4 linked regions of the Drosophila melanogaster genome follow. The protein of the gene in region 1 interacts with the protein of each later gene in a pairwise test. Each region holds a gene or a part of one and is shown in the gene's direction. Other genes may lie near its edges.

Region 1 (5,441 bases):
CCAGGGATTCGGAGGCGGTGGATTTGGAGGCGGATTTGGAGGTGGACTCGGAGGCGGATTTGGAGGTGGACTCGGAGGCTTGGGCAACAATCGAGTGGGTGGAGCTTTACAAAATGTGGCCGGCGCCGTTCAGAATGCCGTGGGCAACATTGCCAAGGCTGTGCCCAAGGTGCCGCTGCTCTCAAACGTCCAGGACTTTGGTGACTTCTTGGTGAGATAGGCAGCATTGATCAATTTCAAAGGTAGAAGTAAAACTTCAACCGATTTGCAGAGCCAATCTGGAAAGACCTATCTCTCCGCCGCTGATCGCGCTCTTCATGAAGGTGCCTTCGCTTCCACCAAGAACCTGGTGGAAGCCGGAAACGCAGCCTTTGCCCAAGGAGTGCACACCTTCAAGCAGGCCGTGAACGCCTTCGCCGATCTGACCCACTCTGAGTTCCTTAGTCAATTGACCGGTCTGAAGAGAAGTCCGGAGGCTAAGTAAGTGCTAACAAACCATTTGCACAGCCGGCATAGGATTTTATCAATTCTATATCTGCACCCAGGGCTCGAGCTGCTGCCAGTTTGAAGTTGGTCAACCTGCCTGCGAAGCCCATCCCGGATGCCTTCGATTGGCGCGAGCATGGCGGTGTCACACCAGTCAAATTCCAGGGTACCTGTGGCTCCTGTTGGGCCTTTGCCACCACTGGTGCCATTGAGGGACACACCTTCCGCAAGACCGGCAGCCTGCCCAATCTCTCTGAGCAGAATCTGGTCGACTGTGGTCCGGTGGAGGACTTTGGCCTGAATGGCTGCGATGGTGGCTTCCAGGAGGCCGCATTCTGTTTCATCGATGAGGTGCAAAAGGGTGTGTCCCAGGAGGGGGCCTATCCCTACATTGACAACAAGGGCACGTGCAAGTACGATGGCAGCAAGTCCGGAGCCACCCTCCAGGGATTCGCCGCTATTCCGCCCAAGGACGAGGAGCAGCTGAAGAAGGTGGTGGCCACTCTGGGACCAGTTGCCTGTTCGGTGAATGGTTTGGAGACTCTTAAGAACTACGCCGGTGGCATCTATAACGACGATGAGTGCAACAAGGGCGAGCCGAACCACTCCATTCTGGTCGTCGGTTACGGATCGGAGAAAGGACAGGATTACTGGATCGTCAAGAACTCCTGGGACGACACCTGGGGCGAAAAGGGCTACTTCCGCCTGCCTCGCGGCAAAAACTACTGCTTCATTGCTGAGGAGTGCTCCTATCCCGTGGTTTAAGCGGGGAATCCGAAATTTATGGCAAAATTTACTGTGCAGTTTGTGATGTGGACTTGGCGTTGGTTGCGTCCATTTCTTAAATAAAAGTCTTTTCTTAATTATAATGCTGCTAAATTAGAGTAGTTAAACGAAAGTAATGCAATGCATTGCTTTGCTTAAATATTTACAGATAACAAATTAAAGAGGAATAAACAAGAATCTTTTGGAAATTTAAAACTATTCACGGGTTAATTGGGCACTAAACGAACTTTAGAGGAGTTCAGCAATTTGATGTGAACAATAACCAGACCTTTATGTCCAAACAAGAAGATCTAGATATTCGGGTAAATTAAAAAAATGTTTGGGGATAGTAACGGAAATAACGCTTGACATTTTAAAACCTGTTAAAAGCGTTGCCAGATGCGGATATTTACAGCAAGAAAGCAAGTAATCGATGATTTCCCCAGTTGGGGATATCGATTATTGCCAAATTTGTGTAAACATCGATGGTATCGCTGTACCGAGACAACAATAATAGAAATAAATTAAGTCAATTGGCGAATTAAACTATATTAGGCGCAGAAAAAACGGCGGACATTTGATGAGCAGCAGGCGGGGAATGCCGTGACGAAAGGCGGCAGTGCGTCCGATGGAAGGCCACCGCGCAACAGTGTTCCTGCAGGTGTGTCTGCTCCGGAAGCGATGTTCTGATCAGAAGAGACCAGCCCACTTTTGGGAAAGTGGGCGTTGTCACCAGAGCGCACGAAACCAAAGCCCCCGGCCACCTGTCTTTCTCCCACTGTGTGTGTGCTAATCGAGGTTTCCCCTTGCCCCTTCCTTTCCAGAAATGTACGCGATAGTGGTGCATGTGCATTGCGACTAATCCAAAGAGTCCCCCTGTGGTCATAACGCATTTAACAACCATCGCAGCCAAATAGTCACGTTTCTCCAGAGATCCCCGTGTGTCTGCACTTTCCCCATCCCCGATAACCCCGCCCCAAGCATGGACGAAGATATCCTAAACGCTGTGGAGTCCCTGTTCGGCAAGGATGTCAAGATCGTGGACTGCGAAACCTCATCCTCGCTGCAGCAGGAGGAGGTGTTGCTGGTCAACGGAGTGCCGGTGAAGCTGGATGGGCTGCCGGCGGATGATGCCAGTGCCATAAAGGCAGCTTTGCTGGAGGGGCAGATGCCATCGGTTGAGCACCTGAATCAATTGCTCTTCCGCGCCGGATTGGCCCAACAGCCCATCGAGGTAGAGACCTCGTTGACCGTCAAGTCCTCTCTGACCACCACGGAGGAGGTGCTGGTCTCGCGCAACGGACAAATCCTAGACGAACGCACCGTGGAGACCAAGGAAAACTTTAACCATCAGTCGCACCAGAAAGAGATCTGGCATCCTGTCAAGCAGCAGTCGGCCTTGGCGCGTGCCACTCCCGAGAATGCCCTCAAATACCGAACCACTTCGAATTCCACGTTCGCATCGCAGGCCACAGACTCGGACGAGCGTCCAGTTGATCCTTTGGGCCGGCAGCTGAACCAAACCTTCTCGAATGCTTCCCTTATGTCCAGCAGCTCTGCTATTACTGGATCCGATCAGGTCATCGGATCTGTATCATCCACCACTATTGGGGACAAAAGCTCGAATATAAGCAGCTGCGACTCCGGGCACGATGGCCTCTTCCACAGCGTGTCGATGAGTGCACCCTGGTCACATCCACGTGACACCTTAACCGACTCTTTGTACTGCGACATTCCCAGCTCCGCAGATGAGTCGGATGCGGTTTCTATCCTAGTAAGTTTGAACGGATTTGCCAGTCGCTAAATAACTAATAATTTACCTAAATTAGAACACCCACTTGAAGATCACAGAGCCATTCGATTGCCAAACAGCGCCAGTTTACGCCAAAGACATACCCAAGAAGGGCAACCTGGATTCGGTGGTCAACCTGCTTATCAATAATAATACTAAGGATTTGCGGTTTGCCTTTCTGACCACTTCCCGCTTGTTTTCACCACCACACCAGCTGCTTTCCAAAATCATTGCCAAGATTGATAATGAGGAGGAAAACGTGTTACGACTTTTGAACGAATGGCTAGACACCTGTCCCGGGGACTTTAGCCATGAACTGCTATTGCAGGAGCTGGAAAATAAGCGTAATGTAAAAGGATTGGCAGCTTTTTTGGATGGAATTCCCCAAGCTTTGGCGCAAAAGGACGAAAATGGACGAAGTCAACTAAATAACCTGCTTACCAAGCAATCGTCGGCCAGCTCGTTGGGACGTCAGAGCAGTATTAAGTCGCTGAAACGCTTTGCCGCCAATGTCTACAAAACAGACAATGTGCTAAACAACTGCAGCAGTGCCTTCGAGTTGGCTCACCAACTTTATGCCATCGAGTACGCCTATCTGTCACAAATACGTCTTGAGGAGTTTGTGGAAATCCTCGAAAAGGATGAGCTGAAGACCTGCATAAGCCAAACCAAGGCGGGCACCTTGGGTTCGAATTGCATCAGCCAGGTGACAATCGACAGTTACGTGCAGTGGTTCAACCAGCTAAGCTACTTGACTGCAACGGAAATATTAAAGGTGAGTACTAAAAAAAAAATTAACCATTAATCAAATAAAAAATATGATTCGTTCGTTCCTAGTTGGGCAAAAAGTCCCAGAGAGCACAAATGATCGACTTCTGGGTGGAAACAGCTCTGGAATGCTTTAACACAGGCAACTTCAACAGCTTGATGGCCATTCTAACAGCATTGAATCTTACTGCCATAGCTCGCCTAAAGAAAACGGTGAGTTTTCGTTAAGTAAAACGAGTGAAGTCTGATTTTACTACTATTTTTTATAGTGGGCCAAAGTGCAGACGACAAAGTTCGAGGGTTTGGAGCATCAAATGGATCCCAGTTCGAACTTTCTTAACTACAGATCCACCATGAAGGCAGCTGTTTGGCGTTCGGAAAGGGAAATGGCCAACGAAATTGAGCGTGCCATCATCCCATTCTTCTCGCTGTTCCTCAAAGATTTGCATGCCATTAACGAGAGCCATGAAACAAAGTGAGTTTGTTTGTGCATAAATGAGCTCTGTTTCGAGATTAACCGAATTCAAATCCGTTTGCAGATTGGCCAACGGATACATAAACTTTGAGAAGTGCCTTCATTTGGGCACCCAGCTGCGGAATTTTGGCAAATGGCAGCGATTGGACTGTCCATACGAGCAGTTGCCTAGTGTGGTGTCCTACCTGTTGAAGGCGGAGGTGCTGAGCGAGGATCTTTTGATGAAGGCCTCCTACGAAAGCGAGCCACCCGAGACCGGCGAGGAGAAGGATCACTACAAGACGTTGAAAGCTGCAAGGAAATCGAACACATAATCACCAATCATTAACGACAATCCTCGAGATAGTGCAATACAATACAAAACGATGCAATAATTCTCGCACTCTTTCGTTGGCGTTCCATTTTCACATTTTGCATTTGTATCGCGATAAAACAGTAACAATAATAACTCTTACACTTCCACTGTGTTTGTTAATTTGTACTTAAGCTTAGACGACGGTATATATTTATTTGCATTCGAATTATATATATACAAGTGACGGGCATTTAATTAGAAACACCAAAAATATGCATAAAATTACTAAAGTAATGTTTTAAATGTTGTATTTTAGCAGTTATATACCCCGAAAAATACATAAAAATAAAAGACTTCGATAAATCCCAAAGTTTTCCCTAACGAATGGTGGCGAACTTCTGAAAGTCGACCGTTCCAAACTTGCCAAACAGTTCCAGAGGATAGTGCTTGCCCTCGACGGGCGCATGGATGCGGATCTGGCGCATGTGGGTGTCCCTGCCATTCTGGTGGTTCGAGATCACAGCAATCTGAAGCATGAAGGTGCGTATGGACTTGACGTTCCCATCCTTAATGGGTATCTGCACCCAGCCGGTGGGTTCGGTCAGGTCCATCACCTGCAGCTCCTGCAAGTCGTTGAAGTTCGTTCCAGATCGTATGGAGATCCTTGATGGCGTGTAACTCTCGTCCAGCTTGTAATCCGTGTATATGTAAATCTGACTGATGTTCGTACGCTTGTGGAATTGAATGTTGACCAGGTGGGGAAGCTGACCGTCCGACTGCCAATAAGTATCCATGATGTTGTCTCGCAAACGCTCTACACCAAATCCTGAAGGCCAAAGAAAATTGTAGAATATGTAAGG
Region 2 (4,724 bases), on another chromosome or scaffold:
GGCAGCAATATCATCACAGCCCAGAATGGCGTTCTTGTGAGTGACGAACATGGTTAGGGCGGCACGAAAAACGATCTTGTAGCCCTCGGCAAAGACACAGTCCCATATACGTAGCACAGTCTCCACGGGCAGCACCTCGGCAAAGATGCAGATGAACCATTTGCTGGCGATCACCGGATAGGGCAGGCCTGGAATAAAAAATATGTTAGCAACTGGTTACGGACTTAGTTCTTTAAACTAAATCTTACCCAAGTTATCCACATGCCGATTTACAGCGGGAATTCGCCGGATGACCAATTCGCGGAACACGGCCAGATCCCTCAGCAGATTGGCCATATTATGGGAATGGTATTGCGGCACGATGTTTTCAACGATATGCTTGAGCAGCCAAAAGGACTTCTCCTCATCGTCGGTGACGATCAACAGGAGGCCGGCTATGTAGTTAAGACCTTGGCAGTAACCCACGTCCCGATTGTGATGGGCGTAGGCGATGAGAATGTTGTACAACCGCTGCTTCTTCATATCGAAGTGAATATTGTCGGGGAAGGTACGAGGTAGATCGATTGATATGGAATCGCTGATTTCTTTGTCGAAGGGCTCGGTGCGCAGAAGGTTGCGAAAGAGATCCGGCGAGCGACGCTGGGCGGCGGCAGCTCCAGATATCTTCATCCAGACGTCGGGACGGTATGGACCAGGAATGCCCTTCCGAATGTACCGCTTCAGCTTGGCGTCCACCTGGGTGAGATCGGTATTTTGCTGCAGAATGGCCTCCCATTTCATGCGGCGCCGCGTTAACGTTTTCAGGTAACCATCCATGAACTTTGAGTAGTTGTTATAGTCGAAGTGGTCGCCACGCTTGAAGCCATATTCGTCCACATCGCTAACCACGTGCGGTTTAGATGCGTAAAGATATGCGTAAGTGAAAATAATTACTATATAACTGAATGCTCACCTGAACTTTGAACTTGCGGTAGCATCCATATGAACTATTGACTAGAGTTTCAATTGCTCACAGTGAAGAAGTGTGGATTTCTTCGTCGTTGGCCACGATTTCCTGTCAGCCGTTCGTGGCTCGTGGCATGGCCCCAAAAAAAGATTTCGTATTCGGCGCACGTTGTGCGGTTACGTCGCTGCCTGCGCCTCTACCGCTTCTGCTGCAACTGCAACGGATTGAACCTGCTGCAAAAGTCAATAAATATTGCCTTTAACTGGGGGCCCTTCATTTATTTATAAGCCCATTTGGCCTTGGCTGGCACTACCTCTGCCTACGCCTCGTCCTTGAGCGATGGGTGGCCTTTTGTGCGCGCCCACTCGACGTTGTTGCTGCCTCCGCTGCTGAACTGATAACATTAACGGACCGACGACCGATTTGGGTGGGCGGCCAACGGACAGGTGACAAGGGGGTGGGCGTGGGCGAGTGCGTTGGCTCCGCTTAACGCGCGCTTGCAAATGGTCGATGGCGGATTATTTAAAAGTAGTGATTTCATTGAAGATTGCTGGTCCGCTTATCAGTGGGCTTGAGTTTGCATATTTTTGTTCTTACTGGTGAATAAAATTCGCGTCTTGTGGAAAGTGACCAGAGTCACGAACTGGGAAAACGGTAGAACGGTAAACTAGTTCCATTCTACGATGATTATGATGCGATACATCGAACTGCTTTGTTACATATCGCTTAAAATCGTGTCAATAGAAAATAAACGGTGGATGGCATTTAAAAAATCGGATTTGAAGCAAAAAAATTTAATGATTTCATTCGTTTATATCATCAAATGCAGAAAATAGATGACCTTACAAATTAATCTAATAGCAATACCGATATATCGTGACCACCCTCACACGTGACAGCTGTGAACATCTGTTGCACGAATCACCCACTGCTTTCATTCGTCGTCATGCGTCATTCAGTCGAACCGTGCTGTGACAAATTACGCAATGTCTAACAACTGATGTAAAACAAGCAATTTACCAAACAGTTGGCCAAATTCCGTGTGTACACACACTCCGATCGACCCAGCGAGGCACTTTAACCAGCTCCTGACCACTTCGAGATGCTGCGCAAAACGGCAACGATGGGAATCATGGCGGCGGTTGCCGTTAAAGCGGCTCCCGAGCCCCAGAAACCAGCCTCCAGTGCGGCGGACTGCAGCCTGGTGTGCCGGCCCAGCGAGCTGCCCATCTACGGCAGCTTGCGCAAGACAGAGTGAGTGCCCCAATGCAAGAAAAAGGTCCCAGCCTTAACGATACTCCTTTAATGCTACCGCAGACCCAAGCCAGAACGGCATCCACCACAAGACTCTGTGCTGCACAAGAACCTGGAGGCCGGAGTCCGCTATGTGCGCGAGGAGGTGCAGTCTGGATATAAGGCAGTGGCCGATCAAGCCGGCATTGTCGGCCATTACGTGGAAACCGCTAAGGCACACACCCAGTCCACCATCGACATGCTGAACGAGCCCCAGAACTCCCTGCACCGCAGCGGAGCCATTGTGGTGGGCGGTCTGGCTGGTTTCATCTTCGCCGCCCGTGGAGGCTTCATAAAGAAGGTGTTGTATTCGGGCATCGGAGCAGGTGCAGTCGCCTCCATGTGCTACCCCCGCCAGGCGGAAGAAAACTGCCGCGTGGTACTCTACGAGGGCCGTAAGATCTTCGCCGTGGCCTACAACTTCATCAAGGGCGTAAAGCCAGGAGAGGATGTTCCCGTAGTGCCCTTCCCTACCTCGCTGGAGGACCTTAAGTACATGGCCAGTGACCTGTACGATGAGGCAAAGGATCTAATCTTCCCCAAAAAGAAGTAGGAAGTGCCCTCCCGCTAAAGGAAACTCCTAGTCCACCTCCATCCGGGCGAAAAGTGTGCATCGATTTAAGTTGTATGAAGCTTGAATTCTATCCGAAAGTAGTTATCTCTTTTCTTGTTGCCAGAAATAAATTGGCCTCGCGTCCCAAAAGTGAAACGGCGGTTTAACTTGGCAAATGTGTGTGGGCCGTGGCCAGAACCCGCTCTCACATGAATCTTCGAGTGATTAATTGAGGTGTTGGTGTCAAGTCAAATGTCACGCCAGTGAGCTGTTGAAAAGTGAAATCCGGAGGAAAGTGTCGGCTGCGGATGTCTCCCATCCTCCATCTCCCCACGTGCAAAACCGATTGTGCCAATCATCATCGTCAATGACCATGGCCCGCAGCCGAACATGGCGATGACTACAAATTGTGTGAATGGTCTTGGCCATCCATTTGCGGTGCCCTCGGGGGCTGCTATTGCTGAGGAGGAAATCGGCTCTTATAGCGATGGGTATCTCGAGCGGACCAATTCTCCGATTGCGGCATTATTTATTAGACAATATTTTCATTAATCTTTTATTGCTCTCGAGCTTTCGCATCGCTATAGATAGACTTGTTCTTTGGGCAAGATACAAACAACGTTCGGATGTCTGCATGCATTTGTTTACAATAAATATAGATTTAGTTAATTGTTAAATATTACTACACTAAAATACCAACAACTTGTGGACATGCAAATGACTCCCAATCCCCCCTACCCCTCCCAAGCCCCCTATCCCTTCGGCTATGTACAAATAGATAATCCCATTCGAAATCCGACCGATTTCCTTGTTAGACAACTTACGGTGCTAACATTTCGCTAGACTAAATTAGTGGGCGTTGACTGTGTGTGTGTGTGTGTAGGTGAATGGGTGAGTGCGGATAGGGGCGTGGCAGTGGCCCACAAGGCCATGATGTTAAAATTGTTAAATTGAAGCTAACTACGCTTAACATTCCTTTAAGATAAATCACACAAAACTTATAGATACAACTGATAAATTAAAACAAATAACAAAAGTAGATCTGCCGTCGTCAGTATCTTCTGATCATCATCTGACATGCTCCAGTATCCACGGCGTAAACTTGGAGATTCTCGTACAGACTCCGGGCAAATTGGCCTCGGCACAGCCAATGCCCCAGGAGATGATCCCGGCCAGAAAGAAGCGCCCATCCTGCGACTTGGCCTGCAAAATGTTTATTAGCATATATCTCGTAGGTTTGCTTTATCCGGCATCTCACCTGCAGTGGACCTCCTGAATCGCCCTGACAGGAGTCCTGCCCTCCCGTTTCATAGCCCGCGCACAGGAATATATCCGGAATGAACTCCTGGCGACCAGCTCGCATGAACATCGATTTGCAATTATCGTTACTTACAATCGGCACGGAGACCTATTAAAATGTATTAGATTACATTTGTGTCTTGCATTTAACTTTATTTTTAGATTTATGATATATATCTTTTGATTCACGTTGGAAATCCCTTTTATGATCTCTCTGACTTTTCCTAATTGCAATCGCCCCATTTAGAACCACACCGACAATTTTTTGCGTTCGATTCGCAGCGGTTATCATTGTCGCTGAATTCTAAAAATGAAGCTTAAAGTCGTGTTAACACTCACCTCTTGGAGGACGGAGGGCAGGGTGCCGCCCTCGCTGAGACGACCCCAGCCGGTGACCGTGGCGTTCATGCCAATTAGGAGGCTGTCCGTCTCGGGCAGGCAAATGGGACTGACATGCGGCGCGAATTCGAGCGGCTGCTCCAGCTTGACCAGCGCCAGGTCGTATTCGTACGTGAGGAAGCTATACTTGGGATGCACCACCTTCTTGGCCACCCCGCGCTCTATGTAGGGCAGCTGTTCCTGCACATGCGAGAAGTCGTACTCGCCCACGCGGATGCGTATCTGCGAGATGAG
Region 3 (3,874 bases), 4.0 Mb from region 1:
AGAAATATTCCTCTTGGTCGGAGGAGTTTAGGTCCTCTGGTGCTGGCATTCCACTTGTATGCCTGCAGATGCTTGGAGAGATCAGGGACACATCTGTGCCCTATCTGGAGGAATGCCGTGCTATATATGCCGTTTAAATGCAGTACACCGCACTGATTGTTAACGAATTCTTTCGATGCAAAAAAAAAACTGGTCAAAGTTTTGGCTAGGGCTGTCAATAAGTCGATTAAATAATCGATAGCATCGATTTCTTGGCCCATCGCGAAAGTAAGCGCGAAATTTAAAAACCCAACGGATGTCTTCACCTTCGTCATTCAGAAGAGCATTCGTCATTCATAATTAATGTCGACAAAGGAGTGTACTTGGCATTGCAAATTAGTCAGGCACGTGAAAACACCATTTTTATTTTTAGCCTAATTTGTACGTGTTTTTGAGTGCTTTTAACCTCTCAAACAAACATTTTTGTTGTTTATTTTTAGAACCGCTTATAAACAATATACAACTATATGGCGGAGAAATGGCATTGTGTGAAAAACTTTAATTAGATCTAAGAATATCATTTAATATATTGTTTTTTAATGTGTTTTTATTGCACAGATAGCTATTAATAGCACTTGGAATCTTTCTTTAATAGGAAATCTACTATAGACACTGTTGAAACTAGCTTTAGCTGTAGTTTTTGTATAAAACCTAGTCTAAACTACATGTTTACTATGTTTACCTCTTTATTTCCCTTCCTGTGAAGCTTTCTTAGTCCACCCACCTGAATTGTTTACGCCTCTCACTCAAATCCAGGACTCTTCTCAATGGCTTGGGTGAGTTGCCCGGCGACGTGGCTGCCGCTCCATCATTTTCCTCCTCCAGAGAACTGGACACCGAGGTACTTGCCACCATTTGGAGGGCCAATTGGAGATCCTCCTCACGCATTTTTTGTTGTTTTTTTTTATTGGAAAAGTATGAAAAAAAAACCGAGTTTTGAGACGACAACCTCGTTGTTCCGGTGGCGAGATCCAACTAAGTGACTTCTCGTGCTTCGTTTTCCAAAATATATACAATGCATGCGCATATGTAATACTTGGCAGTGCGATCGGAGAGGTAAGTTGTTGAATAGATGCTATGCCCGCCTCGTACACTCGTACTTTGAATTCATTAAGAGCCTTCCGATATTTACATTTCCAGAGCAACTTTTTTCGAGCGGTCCATATTTTGGCGGCCCCGGGGCGTGGCCGATCTGGTATGAGATCGATTTATAAGCTATGCGTGGATTAATAGCCGGTGGCGCACTCTTAATAATATATGTCCGAAGGTAGCGCCAAGAATATAGGCCCATTTTTGCATTAACACCGATCGATTTTAAGTGGACCTGCGCCTGCCAATATTGTCGATACACATTTTCACATTTTTATATGCCATTTGCATATTCCGTTTGTCCATTTTATATAAGAAATATTTTGTCGCTTTAAATTTGTATTTATGACCAAGGTGAATTCTCAGGGGTGTCAGGAACTACTGATCAAGTAGGGATTTCTTTATTAATAATAATTGTTTGTTTATTGCATTTTTGGGTTTAAGTGTGTAAAGTGGTAAAATTTCATACATTTTTGATTTCATTTTGGTAATATTGATGCTATTTAAATATTTATTTATTACTTGCACCGATTTCCTTCTTAATTTATTTTTAAGTATTTTAGTTATATAAAGAGATTTTCTTTGGATTTAATGTAAATAATTTTTTACATGAATGAATCCGAGCTTACATCTATTCTACATCCGACTTGACTGTTGCATTCTACAGCTGCGCTGCGGTCACACTAAGCGGCAACACCGGGTGGAATCGATAAACAATTACTATCGAACACACATCGATTGTTGAGAGAGCTGTGAAGCCGACGATTTTACGTCAAAAGCGGAATAAGTTTATTTAACGTACGAAAAAGCTAAGCATAATGTCAGCAAAGGCAGCCTTACCACTGCAGATGTTTGGCCGGCGACTCGTCCACCTGAGGTCATCGGTCACTTCTCAAAATATGAGGTAATTCCGGTTGCATTGCTTCCTCTTATCTGTGACGTAATGAGGGCGCACGTTTGTCGTTTCGCATGTAATTCTAACATTGCCTCCCGTCTCACTCCCAATCGTCTACCACACAACCAGTGCCCTGCGTTTGTACAGCACAGAGAAACAGCCGGAAGAAGCGACAGAGCAGAAGGCCACCGAATCGTCGCCAGAAGTTGAGAAACTCACCAAGGAACTGGCCGCCGCCAAGGAGCAGAATGCCGAGCTAATGGACAAATACAAGCGTTCGCTAGCCGACAGCGAAAACATGAGGAACCGACTGAACAAACAGATCAGCGACGCCAAGATCTTTGGCATCCAGAGCTTCTGCAAGGATCTGCTCGAGGTGGCGGACACACTGGGACATGCCACACAGGCGGTGCCCAAGGATAAGGTACAAACTATCTTATCTTAAGATTTAAGGTTTAAGGTATCTTAAGGATTCAGACTCGCAATGAAGTTGCATATGTTGAGATAAGAATTTCGTAATTATTTGTTGCCAATACTTGAAAATCTTCATAGCATTTTAAGGTGTATTTTCCCGATCTTTCCATTTCTATCTGAGAGATAACAAACCCGATTGCATTACATACATCTAATTGTACATATAGATTTGTTGGGGTATTTTAAATTGAGATATTTGGATAACTTGTTAGCCATTTTAGACTTAATAGATAGTTTAATCGTTTTGCATTAACATTCTTAAAGCTACCCTTACTAATGATCTTAATTATTGCAGCTCAGCGGCAATGCTGATTTGAAGAACCTGTACGAGGGCCTCACCATGACGCGCGCCTCGCTGCTGCAGGTGTTCAAGCGACACGGACTGGAGCCACTGGATCCCATCAACCAGAAGTTCGACCCCAATCAGCACGAGGCGCTGTTCCAGAAGGAGGACAAGACCGTCGAGCCCAACACCGTGGTGGAGGTGACCAAGCTGGGCTACAAACTGCACGAGCGTTGCATACGTCCGGCCTTGGTGGGCGTGTCGAAGTGTTGATAGCCATGCGGCTGCCCAGAGGCATGTAAAATTCCCAGTACTCCCCCCCCCCCCCTAAACCAATTTACATGGCGTGTGTCTCTCAATTGTTTGCAATTTGTTTTCCGCTGCAAAATTCATGTACGTAAACCCTGTGTAAATACAACCTATCCCACAAACGCATCCTTCGGGCAAAGCTTGCGAATTTAGAATTCCTCCTAGTTTCTAAGAGATCTGTGACTGGATTTGATGGCCACAATTTGTACCATACGCGTGGCCATCGAGTGTTCCACTTTAAGGTTTAATTACGATAATAAAACATGTTTTAGTTTGTTGAAATATACCACGGAAATTTGTATTTCATCCTCATCTGGAGGAGACTCTGTTTATCTAGGTCTCTTTTTAGTTTCCTTTGATTTTCCCCGTTTTCCTTAGCCCTTGAAATTCGAATCCCTCATGAAAAACCATTTCTTTTGTTAACAAAAACCAGGTAGCGAAGCGTAATCGCATTCCTGCTCGTCGCGTAGGTGGAAAATTCAATGGAAATGCGTGATTTTCTATGACCCAGCAGGTAGGCTTCCAAGCACGTTCCCATGAATTCAGAGGTAGCACAGATGGTGGGTTCCCTAAAACGAGATTTGCGCCAGAGTTGAAAGTCTACTTCAAACGGTTTTGAACTATCTCGTTGGTTAGTTGTCCTTAAACATTTGAAGTGAACGGTATGATTGGTGTGCTAATGCGTTTTCTCTGGTCCTTGGCCATGGTGCAGTGCATCCAGGCTAGAGTGTCGATGCTGCCTCGTTTTTATGGACAAGACAGCGCTGTTATAGTGGACATCAATA
Region 4 (3,239 bases), on another chromosome or scaffold:
TATGAAGGCAAGATTCTGGAAATATAGCTACAATGGATTAGGAGTACGTTTCGTTATACATCTTAATCCTTTCAAGCAAACACACCGTAATTGCACGCAGCTGTCCGTCGGCGTCACGAAGCGGATTCTTTGGATCCTCAGAGAACAGGCGCATGTTCTCAATGGCCATCTGAAAAGAAGGTGAACGATAGTGAGTATTTACTGAGAAAGCTTTATATTCTCAAATATAATGTATTTGGTATGATTGCACCTATCAATATTCTAAAGCATAATTTCAAATAAGTGTTCTTTAAACCAAAAAAAATCATGTTTAAGTATTTCGAAACATCTAAAGTCGATCTAATAAGATAATTTCTATCCCATTTGATTTGATAACTCATTAAATCCAATCTAAATGTAGGTATAATATAAAAAAATCCCACACACATCTTTAATAGTACATTTAAATAAAAAAAATACATGAAATGAAATCGATCTCCACAGCTTTCGGGCAGCTTCTGGGAACCCACCAAATACGATCGCGTCTCATCGTTGGGATCGCCGCCCTTGTGCTCGCACTCGTGCAGCAGCTTGTCGCTGAGCTCCAGTTCGATGGCGTTGTCTTCCCGCTGGCTCCACTGCATCAGCGATACGACCTCCTTGTAGACCGTCTCCGCTTTGGGGGCGGGGGCATAAGGATCAAAAGGAGGCAGGGCGAGGATCGTGTGCAGCGTGTTGATGATGTTGCCGTCGGGAAAGCTGAGCCGCTCCAGGAGCTGGCATGGCGGTGAGCTGCTCCGCGCCGGCTTCGCCTGTTGGACACCAGCAGGCGGTGGCGACGGATTCAGCTGGGAAGCGGTGGCGACGCAGGAGGAGGACGCTGTGGCATCCACATCGCCCTCCGCATCCGCATCTACATCTACGTCCATGGAGGACAGAGACATCACATGGCAGCAGGAAGGCGGCGCCTCCTCCATTGGCAGTTCGCCATTGACCAGCGGCTCATCTGCATCCGTTTCTTTGGTGTGCGCCACCTGATCGGCCATTTCTGGCGGGGCTTTCACGCGGTGGATGGGTCAATGAGCCCAGCCAACTCAGTCAGTCCCCGGCTCCGGATCACTTGTTAGTCTTTGGTGCTTCTGCTGGCCAAATCCGCGTATGCGCGACGCATTATTATATACGAAATCACAGATGTAGATGCACTTTCACTCGCTCACTGTATGCGCGCGCGTGTCTGTGTGTGTGCGCTGGTGTGTCGGTGTGCAAGTGTATAAGTGTGGGTATTGGATTGGTTTGGTTTTTGGAATCGAAATCGGTTTTGGAAAAGAACGCAGAGCAGCACAACGCAACGCGCTTTGCCCCTCGAATCGCGCCAAGTGCGCCTCTGCTTTCATCAGCGTTTCACTGCAGGGCCATCCGTTTGGATTTTCCGGGACCCGACTTTCCGTTGCCTCGCAGTTTCCGTTTCGTTTGCACCCACGATTGTTGTGATTTTCCGCTTTTTGTGATTTTTCGCCTGCTCGTTGCAATTCGCTCGTTTCTCGTTGATTGCATTCGCATCGGTGTGCCCGTGGCGGCCTTCGCTCAAATTACCGCAACGCCGCGCAAGAGTCACGAATAAATGGTCATACCCCGTGCACACTTGTTTGGCCGAAAAGTTTTCTACATCTATCCCAAAGAACAAACACAAACTTTTATTTATATGAGCTTTACTTTACTTCTGTGTGGTCCATTCTTAGAAAACTATACTAATGCGTTCTTAAAAATTTGATTTGGGAAATGTTAAAAAAGCATTTTAAGCCATACAAAAATTGTAAAACCATAGGAATGTATGTTTCATATACTTTTTTCAACATATATTGTAGGTAAAACAAATCATCATGTATTTATACAGAAAAAGGTCCCAAAGATCTAAAAATTTCCTATTCTGTCTATGGAATAAACACATTTATAATGCAAGAAAATATATTTTACAGTAAATTCTTTCAATTCGATAGTGGGCCAAATGTCGTACAGAATATATCCGTGTCCCTTCGATGTGTTGACAACCCTGACCGAATTTCGTAATTTCGAAACGAACGAATTCAGCCGGCGAAGTGGAGAAGAAAATGTCCGCATCGACGGACCAGGATCCCGTGGAACTAATGCTGAAGAAGACCGGCTGCATAGAGCTTCACTACAAGGTGCAGGAGTGTATCGCCGAGACGGGCGACTGGAGGGCTTGCCAGGAGAAGGTGAAAGAGTTCCGGGCGTGCATGCAGAAGTACGTGGAGCAGCAGAGCCAGAAGTATGCCCACGTCAAGTAGCATCCTGCAGAAGTTCCTCAGCAACGGTTTGGCCTTCGGCAAGTCCACCAAACTGGCGCTGGTGGTCCGAACCGACCTAAAGATGTCCAAGGGAAAGACAGCGGCCCAGTGCGCCCATGCGGCGGTCATGTGCTACCAGAGCTCTGTGCAGGGAACCAAGCTGCAGAACGCCATTCTGCAGCGTTGGTGTCGCCTGGGACAGCCGAAGATAGTGCTGCGCGTGGACAACTTCGAGCAGCTAAACTCCCTGGAGCGACAGGCCCAAGAGTCGAACGTGGTGGCCGCCTTGGTGAGGGATGCCGGGCGCACTCAGCTGGAATCTGGGACAGCAACGGTCCTCGGACTGGGTCCAGCCCCTGCCGAAGATCTAGACAAATTGGTGGCGCATTTGAAGCTTTTGTGAACTCTTAGGTTTATGCAACGTTACAAATAAAGTACAAGTAATCAACAAGTGCTCAAGCGGCGGTCTTCTTGCCCTTGGAAACTGTAGATATAGTAAGGGACACTGCTTGGCCGAACATCTCCACCAGGTCTGATGTAACTCGCTCCGTGATCTGCCGCAGCTTGCCATTACCCTCGCCACAGATTAGGCGCTCGATTCGCGTGGTGGGGCACTGAACCTGCACGGATGTGTAGACAACATCTGCAAAGAAAATCGGAATTGAAAAGGATTTCTTTACGAGTGTACAGAAGTACTCACTTTTTTCCACACTGTAGTACTCGATCTCGCACTTAAGGTTGTAGGGTATCTCCTGCGGCAAGTAGTCCAGCAGACGAGCCCGCACACTCTCCACAATTAATGCTTCTGGGCTGGAGTCCGTATGAATGTCAGCTGGGTATTTCCAATCCCTGGGCTTAGCCTGGCCCACCAGGTAGTTCTGCATCTCCTGCAGCCCATTGCCGGTCAAGGCGGAAACAAGAAACACGTCGCTAAAATGGCTCCAGCTAGACTCC

The links.
Region 2: the proteins of CG4853 (region 1) and Mic26-27 interact in a two-hybrid assay, tested with the Drosophila melanogaster proteins (one large-scale study listed by BioGRID).
Region 3: the proteins of CG4853 (region 1) and Roe1 interact in a two-hybrid assay, tested with the Drosophila melanogaster proteins (one large-scale study listed by BioGRID).
Region 4: the proteins of CG4853 (region 1) and CG17327 interact in a two-hybrid assay, tested with the Drosophila melanogaster proteins (one large-scale study listed by BioGRID).

What each region holds. Positions count from the first base shown.
Region 1 is NT_033778.4:17,512,505-17,517,945, forward strand, and holds CG4853 (uncharacterized protein), read left to right. Parts: upstream 1-1,712; 5' UTR 1,713-1,912; exon of another isoform or gene 1,913-2,075; 5' UTR 2,076-2,233; coding exon 2,234-3,025; intron 3,026-3,080; coding exon 3,081-3,818; intron 3,819-3,880; coding exon 3,881-4,024; intron 4,025-4,080; coding exon 4,081-4,286; intron 4,287-4,350; coding exon 4,351-4,600; 3' UTR 4,601-4,941; downstream 4,942-5,441. Other genes in the region: CtsK2 (cathepsin K2), read left to right, coding at 1-211, 272-480, 546-1,251; APC10 (anaphase promoting complex subunit 10), read right to left, coding at 4,959-5,407.
Region 2 is NT_033777.3:16,143,899-16,148,622, reverse strand, and holds Mic26-27 (MICOS subunit 26/27), read left to right. Parts: upstream 1-1,767; 5' UTR 1,768-2,048; coding exon 2,049-2,200; intron 2,201-2,263; coding exon 2,264-2,792; 3' UTR 2,793-3,860; coding exon of another isoform or gene 3,861-3,995; 3' UTR 3,996-4,050; coding exon of another isoform or gene 4,051-4,200; 3' UTR 4,201-4,222; downstream 4,223-4,724. Other genes in the region: CG5916 (uncharacterized protein), read right to left, coding at 1-188, 249-880, 953-981; Sb (stubble), read right to left, coding at 3,861-3,995, 4,051-4,200, 4,431-4,724.
Region 3 is NT_033778.4:13,552,235-13,556,108, forward strand, and holds Roe1 (Roe1), read left to right. Parts: upstream 1-1,842; 5' UTR 1,843-1,946; coding exon 1,947-2,032; intron 2,033-2,152; coding exon 2,153-2,447; intron 2,448-2,792; coding exon 2,793-3,053; 3' UTR 3,054-3,372; downstream 3,373-3,874. Other genes in the region: link, read left to right, coding at 3,754-3,874. UniProt on the Drosophila melanogaster protein: Essential component of the PAM complex, a complex required for the translocation of transit peptide-containing proteins from the inner membrane into the mitochondrial matrix in an ATP-dependent manner.
Region 4 is NT_033777.3:12,996,371-12,999,609, reverse strand, and holds CG17327 (uncharacterized protein), read left to right. Parts: upstream 1-1,883; 5' UTR 1,884-2,087; coding exon of another isoform or gene 2,088-2,268; coding exon 2,269-2,688; 3' UTR 2,689-2,734; downstream 2,735-3,239. Other genes in the region: CG7518 (uncharacterized protein), read right to left, coding at 1-27, 86-169, 510-1,025; CG44194 (uncharacterized protein), read left to right, coding at 2,088-2,285; CG7488 (uncharacterized protein), read right to left, coding at 2,741-2,928, 2,986-3,239.